Drosophila melanogaster: one gene and its partner. The protein of the gene in region 1 interacts with the protein of each later gene in a pairwise test. Each region holds a gene or a part of one and is shown in the gene's direction. Other genes may lie near its edges.

The links.
Region 2: the proteins of CG17562 (region 1) and CG10737 interact in a two-hybrid assay, tested with the Drosophila melanogaster proteins (one large-scale study listed by BioGRID).

The regions. Positions count from the first base shown.
Region 1 is NT_033777.3:16,613,373-16,617,934, forward strand, and holds CG17562 (uncharacterized protein), read left to right. Parts: upstream 1-1,936; 5' UTR 1,937-2,036; coding exon 2,037-2,225; intron 2,226-2,281; coding exon 2,282-2,792; intron 2,793-2,849; coding exon 2,850-3,561; intron 3,562-3,620; coding exon 3,621-3,708; 3' UTR 3,709-3,782; downstream 3,783-4,562. Other genes in the region: CG10340 (uncharacterized protein), read right to left, coding at 84-675, 732-976.
Region 2 is NT_033778.4:19,162,352-19,167,429, forward strand, and holds the start of CG10737 (uncharacterized protein), read left to right. Parts: upstream 1-1,791; 5' UTR 1,792-1,824; intron 1,825-2,812; exon of another isoform or gene 2,813-3,708; intron 3,709-5,078.

The DNA.
Region 1 (4,562 bases):
AAAATTTGCAAAACGAATACTGTTTCGTGTTTAATATATCCTTGTCGTGTTTGTTCTATTTATTTTGATTAAAATCGCAGGGCCTAGACCAGCTGTATGTTCTCAACTTCCTTAATTAGATCCATGTGCTTGAACTCGTCCGGCTTACGGGTAAAAGTGTTCAGCAAGCGCAGCTTGCCCTCGTCGGGCTTCAGGTAGAACATCTGCAACTCATTGGCCAGACACTGAGCCTCCTGGGCTGTGAGTACCTTAGTGTCGTATTCACCGCGCATGAGAACTACACCCTTGTCTTGGACCTCGGTATAGTGAACCACTGTGAGACACTCCGGAGCGTTCTCATGGTGCACCTGGTACGCCAAAAGCGGAGTGAAGTGCACGGTGTTGGCTGCGAACTGGAGCATGACAAACTCGAATCCCTCACTGCGGGGCAGTGGCAGCAGAAAGACGGGGTGCTCCTTGGCGCGCGCCATGAGGTTCTCGTACTGAGATGTGCTTAGAGTGGCGGCCAGGACCTCCTTGGTCTTATGGTACTCCAGCCAAATCTGGGAGACCTCTTCGGCGGTCTTGTCCTCAATCAGTTCCAGTTTCATGATATCAGTGAGCTTCTTGTGGGGCAGTTCAGCTGCCTGCTCAGCCTGCAGTTTTTGCTTGGGATTCAGAAGCTCGGAGTAGGACCTGGAATTGGCAAGGGATCAGCTATGGATTGTCTTCTGCCCGAATACTGAGCTTACCTGGCCTGGCTCTGCCCATCTTTGATGGGATTCACCACACGCTCCACGCGATCCAGGAACTCCTCAGCCGACGTCTGCTGCAACTTGGCAATCTTGCTCGCGTACTTGGAGTAGTAGGGATTGTCCTCCTTCAGCTTCTCAATGGCCTCCTCGGCACGTCGCGCGGCGGACATGGTGATTGTGCGGTTCGCCGTCAAAGAGTTATTCAGGAAAACGCGAAAAAGCAATTTCTTGGCGCATGCCATTTCCTCACCTCACATCAAAAATTATACAACTAGACAGCTGATTCTGATTGTCAATAAGAAAATCGATACTATATATATCGATAGTTGGCTCTAGCGATGGGCTATGGGCGCGGGTAAGACTTTTTCTACATCACATGCGCGATGCTCAAAATAATTATTATCTTTTTATTTATTTATTTTATTTTTGTGACACAAAATGTTAAGCTGCAGACCGTATTTCGTCTAGGCTGCCATGACGTTTTAAAACAAATCCAGTTAGCTGCTTATTTCAAAAGTAGGCAATTGCAAACATACATTTTTTACAGTCATTACTACTTTGGCGGAAAAACATAGGAAGTTGATAAATTTGAAATCTTCACAGTTTCAACACAAAGGTAGAGCGTTACATATTTATGTCGACATGTTCGCAAAAATAAGTATTTAAATTACACATTAATATTTTTTAATAAATGTAAATAACCGGTTATCTAATCATGAACTAATCTAAAACCTTCTGGGTATCATTTATTATTTATTTTTCAAAATATTCGTAATTTAATCTTTATATTTAGTTGTTTTCATCACTAAATTAAATGTTTCAATAGGGAACGACACTGACAGCCAATAAATTCTACAAACAAGAAATGGTTCGTATTTCATAATCTTACTTGAAATCCGTACTTAGACCTCCTTTGTAGCGCATTTGGTTAGCAAATAGGCTATACTCGATTAAAAGAATATGGAAATGAACATATAGGGAAATAAGACAGGGGTGCAGTAATAAAGTAAACTGAAGAGTTTATTTAAATAGCAAACAACTTTCACTACTTTTAGGAGCCATTACCCTGGCATACAATAAAATTGGAAACCAGATGCGTAAGTAAGTTCTATAATATTATTCGTGATTACCAGCCCTGGGTCTTCAGTTCACCGCACGGTCGAAAATTTTGTATAAATATCCGCAGTGAAATCAAGGTGATTTTCATTAAAGCCGTTCTTTGTTAAAAACGACTGCAACTTTTGCTTCTATCGGATAGACTTTTTTTCGCCGCCAATTCAAGCGTAAACCATACTTCTAAAAATGGATACGGATATTCAAAGATGCTTCCGGAGCAAAACGGTGTTCCTAACTGGAGCCACCGGCTTTTTGGGTAAAGTCGTTATTGAGAAACTTTTGCGGACCACAGAGGTGAAACGCATCTATGTGCTAATTAGACCAAAGCGCGGAGTTGAGATTAAGGATCGGATTATCACCTGGTCAAAAGATGCGGTAAGTAAGGCGATAGGAAATTTAAAAGAAATACTCACTCGAAAGGTGTGGAAAAGGTATTTGAACTGCTGCTGAAGTCCAAGCCGGAGGCACTTCAAAGAGTATGTCCCATCGCTGGGGATTGCCTCGACTTTGATTTGGGAATCAGCGAGAATGATCGAAGACTTCTGGCCTCCGAGGTGCAGATTGTCATCCATGGAGCTGCCACCGTGCGATTCAATGAGCCGCTTCACGTGGCCCTGGCCATCAACACAAGGGCCACCAAGCTGATGATTCAACTGGCCAAGGAAATGAGGCAGCTGGAGGCCTTCGTTCATGTATCGACCGCCTTCTCCAACTGCGTTATCTACAACATCAAGGAAAATTTCTACCCCGAGCATCTCAACTGCAGTTCCGATAAGGTGCTTGCAATGGCAGAGCTGATGAGTGACGAGCTACTGGACAACATGGAGCAAGCGCTCCTTGGCTCGTTTCCCAACACGTACACGTACACCAAAGCACTGGCGGAGGATGTGATCCTGAAGGAAGCGGGTGGCTTGCCACTTTGCATCTTCCGACCGGCAGTCAGTAAGTAATCCTTATTACGTACTCTGTCTACATCTTGTCATTTCTACCCTTACCCAGTTATTGCGGCCCACAAGGAACCCATCTCCGGCTGGATAGACAACATGTACGGACCAATGGCAATTCTTTTCGGGGTGGCCCGTGGAGTACTGCGCATTGCCACCATCGATCACCATGCCGAGGCAAGCCTGGTGCCCGTGGATTATTGTGCCAATTTGACTCTGGCCTGTACCTGGAAGACCATTGTGGAAGGTAACGAGATGGGAACACAAGAAACTCCTCTCATCTACCAACTGGCGCCCATTGAGCAGAACAAGATCACCCACGGGGAGTTCATTCGACATGCTCTCGATGGACGCACCAACTGCCCGCTGACAAAGATGATATGGTATCCCTTCATCCACTGCATCACAGTGCCGTGGCTCTTCCCCCTGGCAGCTTTCTTCTATCACACCCTGCCAGCCTACTTTTTTGACCTGGCTCTCTGGCTGAGTGGCCGGAAGCCCAGACTAGTAAAGGTTTACCAAAAGATCCACAAGACTCTCGGCATCCTGGGCCCATTCGCCTGCAAAAGCTGGCGCTTTGACATGCGGAATACGGATCACTTGAGGCAGCAGATGTCGGAGGAGGATCGAAGGATATACTACTTTGATATGGTCAGCCTCAACTGGAAGGAATACTTCGTTCAAGCTCTGCGTGGCATGAGACAGTTCTTGGGAAACGAGGCACCCACCCCAGAGTCCATTGCACAGGGCAAGAAGCTCATTAAGCGGTAGTTTCCATTGTCTTTTCTGTTTCTTACAAAGTGTATTACATCTAATTGTATTTTAGTTTAAAGCTGCTCCATCATATCCTGCAAGGTGTCCTTTGCTTTGTGGCACTACTAGCACTGTGGTCGTTGGTAAGGATCCTAGTCTGATTCAGCAGTACATAGGCAACCCACCGACTCACTTTCGTAATTGCGTCATGGAATTAAATAAATATATACAACACATAGACATGTCTTTTATTTAATTACTTGAATGGTGGTAGCTATAAGGTTTTTTCCTCACGAGCCGATCTAAATAGGTGCACTGAGTGACACAATCGATTGCATAAAGTATACGCAACTGGTTACATCAAGAAGTGATATATATACAATAGTATGCACCTATTATAATGTAATAATTTTTTAATTGAAATCGCTCTCTGGTATTCTATTGATCAAACCTTATTGAAATAAATAGGCCATAAATTGGTATATAAAATGTTATGATATAACATATATATGTGTGGTTCCTATACAGAATACAAGGTCTAGCACATATACGGTGTAGTCACGAGGATACTTATATGCGATTACGTAACGACTGATCGGGGACTTCTTACACGTGCCCATACAAAATTTATATACGCGGAAATACAAAGTCATCGCATGCAATTTATCATTTACCATTCTTGTTTACCATTCACACATATACTAATTTGAATTTCACGCAAGAGATGGCAGCTCTATACTAAGTCTCGAATCAACTTTAAAATTTTAAATTAAATGCACCAAGGTTATTTTCATTCGTAAGCAAAAATATAATTAATAAATGCAACTAGGCCTTTAATCGAAGCAACACAAATAATTATCTATACCCAAAAAATAAACTTTCGCTGAGTTTAGAGCACGAGCTCCTCCCTAAAACGGGAGACCATTGGGTGTCTTGAATATGCTGAACTCGACCTTTGTTGGGTGTAACTTATAGATTCCCAAATAAATAGAAGCGCTAGTTTGGAATCACTTTT
Region 2 (5,078 bases), on another chromosome or scaffold:
ATATATATATATATATATGTGGTTTAATATATATGGACTACTCATTAAACTAACCTAAAGGGAACTAGTATTACGACTCAAAAACGAAATGAAAACAATTCCACAAACGTCATCCATCAAAGCTCCTGAAAAAATGGAAAAACTCCACGCATTTCCTACAACAAAACCACAACATTTTCCTAAGCACACGATCTCATACGACTCAATTTAAGAACCAGCAAGTCTTCAGCAAATCAGAAACATAAACAAACAAACAAAAAAAAAAAACAGTTCAAAGCGGAATTGAGCGTGGTGTTCAGGACTCAGAGTTAGCTCGAGCAACTTAGCATTAGTGTCACACGAATAATTACTGCGATCCAGCGATCTATACGATCTATACAGCGAAATTAGAAAGCTAAATTAACAATCGACTGCTGCGTATTATACATATTAATAATACTTATAAATATATAAAGGAACGCCCATAAATAATGTACACTCCCCCCAGACTCGGCGCAAAATGCCGCTCCTGAACATATGCGTACCAATTCAACTTCCATATACGACTAAGACTAAATAGCGAAATTATTGAAAGATAGCAGGCCAAGCAAATCGGAAAAAAAGGTGGATCAGATAGTGGGAAAGCGGAAGGACGAAAGGAAGGACACGAGGCGGGAGCAGAGGAAGGATAAAGGATAAGAAGAGTTTAGTTCTTAAGCATAAAGAAGTGAAATTGTTTATTAAGTGGACAAAAATTTATTTATACTGAAAAGTGAAAGCGATAGAGAGTGGTAGTTGTGTATAATTCGAATACATATATACATTTTAATTTTTTGTAATTTAACAATAATTTATATTGACTGTGCGAGGTTGCGTCGATATATGATATATATGATTATATAGAGTATATGAAATACCTAGTTATATGACGGCCACACACACGGTCCGGTCCGGTGTGTATGTAAATGTTATGATTTTTGTATTTTTATATATGATCTTTGCATTGCGAAAACAATGGAAACAATTTAATATTAAACACACGTAAACTATTTTAAACGAAGCAAATGAAAATCGATGCGCCTTGCAGTGGGCGCAACCTTTTTATGTATTAAATTAAATATATTATACACTTATATACAACCAGAATATTCAATATACATACAAGAGATGAGGAAACGATGTAGCAGCCAGCATTGACTCGAGATCAAAATATATATTAAAAATCAGCAACGGATTCACTTAGATCGTTAAGGGGCGTAAGTTATAGAAGCGGCGGCGATCGGGAAACGAAGTAGAAGCGCAAAAACATTATATGCATATTCAACAAAAGAACGTAAAGTGAAATAAACAGCAACGTTTGTATGTAAAAAAAAAACCAACATTTGTTTCAATTTTCTACATTTATGGCAGTAAAGGTCTTGGACTATTAGGCTGCTATTTTTCAGATTTAAAATTATTATATTATTTATGTTTGAATTTTGCAGTTTAAAACGAGCTGCTTTCCCGCTAAAAATGTTTTGAGTTTAAAGGATTCTGCGGTTTGGATTCGAATCATAGTATATGGAGTTGCCACAAAATCTATGTGTTGCTTTATCGATTTTTCAATGTTGAAACTTATAAACATGGATACAATTGTTTCTTCCAAATTTACAATGAACTTAAAAACTAAGATCAATAAAAAATATATTTTTTAGAAACCATGTTGCGCAACATTTGCAGGGAGCAACAAGTGCCTAAACATGGCTATCGATACCAAGACGACAAATATCGATAATTTTTCTTCTACTCTTTTAACATTAATGTTATGAGCGAATGTTATTCTCTCTTTGACATTCAACGAGTAAGGTTGGTGTTCGTTTCGTTCGCGGATGAAAAATAAAATAGCGGCGGCAAAGATTTCTTATTGTTCCTAGTGCTCAACAGAAAAAAAAGAACATAAAATAAAGAAACAAAATGATAAAACGAAAGCTTATTCGATAAGCGTGTGTACGTTGTATATGGGAAATTTGGCAACAAACCGCAAAAATATTTGTTGTACCGCAGCAAAATATTTAAAAAGCATTGCAGAAATATACAATTTAACATATAAACTGTGCGCGCGTGTTTCTGTGTGTGCGTGTGTGGCTATGTGTTGCTTGTTCTACACAAAAACAATTTATTATAATGCCGAACTTAAATCGAAATTAAAGACTGCCGAAAAGCAGCGTTCTTCATTGATGCTGCAAACAGCTGATTGTCTCGCTCTCTCTCTTTCTCTTCAGTGGTTCTAATTGTTGTTGTTGTTATTGTGGCTGGGGAAATTTAAATGTTGGCCAAGTTTAAATAGAAAACCACTAAAGCGACTGTGTGGCCCAGTAGTAACGTGTCAGTGTAAAGTAGTTAAAACTAAAACCGGGTAGTGCAGTGTAAAGCACACAAAGGCCAACGGACAATCTACATAATTTGAATGTTATGATTTCTTATCGAAGACATTCAAATATAACAGAGAAACAATCGCAAAAGAAACTTTTATGAGCAAGCGGAAGCAACCGACGACATTGAACTTAAGTTTGAATACAACACAGGCGAACTTGAATAACTCGATTGTATTTTATTTAAACTTGAGTGGCTTCCACTATTCTGTTTTTGATTATCTGTAACTTGAGTGGCTTCATTCGATTTGAATTTAAATATTGTGGAATTTTTAATGCTTTACTAAATTTTATATAGCAAAATGCCAATTTCAAGCGTCAAAACTTAGATTTACACTTTTTAGCATAAATCGAAAATATTGTTATTGCTGAAATGACGACTTTATTGAACAAAAGATATCAATTGTGTCTTTCAATTTTAGTTAATTTTACGGAAGTTTGTAAAATTCTTCACACGTCTACTCGATTTGCCTCGCCTCCCCTCTTCGCTTCTCCTTTATCGCCATCTTCGCAACGAACAAAGTGACAAAAACACAACAAAAAAAAAGAACAATAACAAACGAAAGAATTTCATCATCAACGCGAGAAGAGCACGACTATCTTCTATCTCGCTGCAGCGAAATAGTTAAATAATTTGAAAAATATTAAGTAATAAAATACGAAACGGCATTATTTTTGAGACAAGAATAATCGGCAGTGTTTTGGTAGAACTTTTTGTTGTTTGCACTAAATCGAAATTCGTAGGAATATTATTTGCTAACGTGGCCTTTAAAATTCGGTCAACCGTGTGAGTAGAGCATATAAAAATTCAGTGAAAACACCATTTGTTTACTATGTGTGCCAAGCTTTTCCGCCCGCCACCACCACCCCCTTTTGAAAACCAACCACCACACTCCCTCTCCTTTATCGATTTGCATTTCGCACAGAGAAATTGCTGGCCCTAAATAACTGGCTCTGGAATTTAATGAAACTTTTATATATTTGGCCACCTAACTCACGTGCAAACCATACTGAAATACATGCACATGAATACCCACAAATTGAGCAGGGTCTAAGCTTTTTGTCACTAATCAATCACTGGGTATTTGCATTTTATAAATATGTTTTCTAACACCTGAAAACCAAGTACATTTCGGCCGACAAGTCGCAGAATCAGGGCTAAAAAGCCATTACATATGTGGTTACGGTTACGGTTGTGATTTCTCCCCAAATAATGCCATCCATTTTTACTTCCACGAACAACACAAATTGCAACACACTTTATCCTGCGGATTCAACAACTATAATTACATCTACAAATTGCGTTCTTTGTGATACGGTAAGTGAAGCAAACCCTTTTTTCTTCCTCCAAAAAGAAAACGCCACATTTTTCCGCACATCCTTCAACCGAGCTCAGGGTTTGCTCAATTTTGGGCTTGGCTTTTATTTTGGGTGTGTTCCTAATGGCTCTCTATGAAGACGTTGCGGCGATCCTCCGTGCGATAGAGGCCCAAATTGCGTGCCTCGTCCATCTGCAACCCTCGTTTCTGGTTCCGTATCTCTCTACACCCCTGGAAGCCACCCCAAAATGTGGAAACTGTGTCACTGGCTGTTGGCGCTGTTGAAAGCCAGGAAAACTAGGCAGGAAAAACTGTGCACAGAAAAAAATAACTTAAAGCATCTCATTTATTATTAAATATGAAATAAATAAATAAATAGGGCAACATTTGAAGGTATTATAGAGAAAATGTAAAACAATTCAAATTTAATTCGATTTATATTTAATTCGGTAGTATGTTTTTGCACTAAGTAGTAGTTAAGAGCCCCATTACAAATCAATTTTATTTTATTAATACTTAAACTTTTTCTATACCAGTTTAAAGTTCATTTTTCGCCTGCCACAAACTAAAAACAAAACTTAAATTTAATATAATTTTTTTGCTCGTGTAACTGCCTGCATTTTCCAACCCCTCTCAGCGTTCTTTTTACTCTCCGCTCTCCATTATTTTCTCTTTCGCATGGCGCATCCTTTGCCGGTCAAAGCTTTTCCTCGGAAAAGCAACTTCCAGGAAAAGGGAAAATGATGTTTTTGGGTTAACAAACAAATAAACCGAGAAGTGTGAGCACTTTTTACGATTCAACTCCGATTTTTGTTTGGCCCTCGGTCACGTTGACAAATCAATGCGCGGACCCTTAATTATTTAGTGGTTGCCCTGGCAACCCTAGTCCTCAAATGGTTGACCAAACGTGGTCAAAACAATTGGCCCCGCAGTTCAAATACCTTTTGGCCAGCCGAAGGCGGGTGGCGAGTAAACTGACCACCGACTATATTTGCAGGCCAATCATTCAGATAAGAAATGGAAACCCGTGGAAAAATCAATAAGCCGGGGGCAGAAACTTTCCTCGAGTAAGATGCGTAACGCCTTCGACTGCATAGAACTCATATTCACAGAGCGCAAATCGATGGGTTCGCGGGACCAGTTTGAATCGATAAACGAGTTTTTGAATAGGCCAAAGTCGAAAGGTTTCGAAACGCTGTTTGTCTGTCTCGGAGAGTTGTGTAAAATGGGTTGTGCGGCTTTTCTGAGCTGAACTTTGGCTGGCACCAAAGTGAAACACGCAACTGGCCCTTTCCCCTTTGACCTCTGACGTGGTCTCTTTCAGTTGCGTGCTAAAGTACGTTTGTATCTTGGGATCAAGCTGCGTATG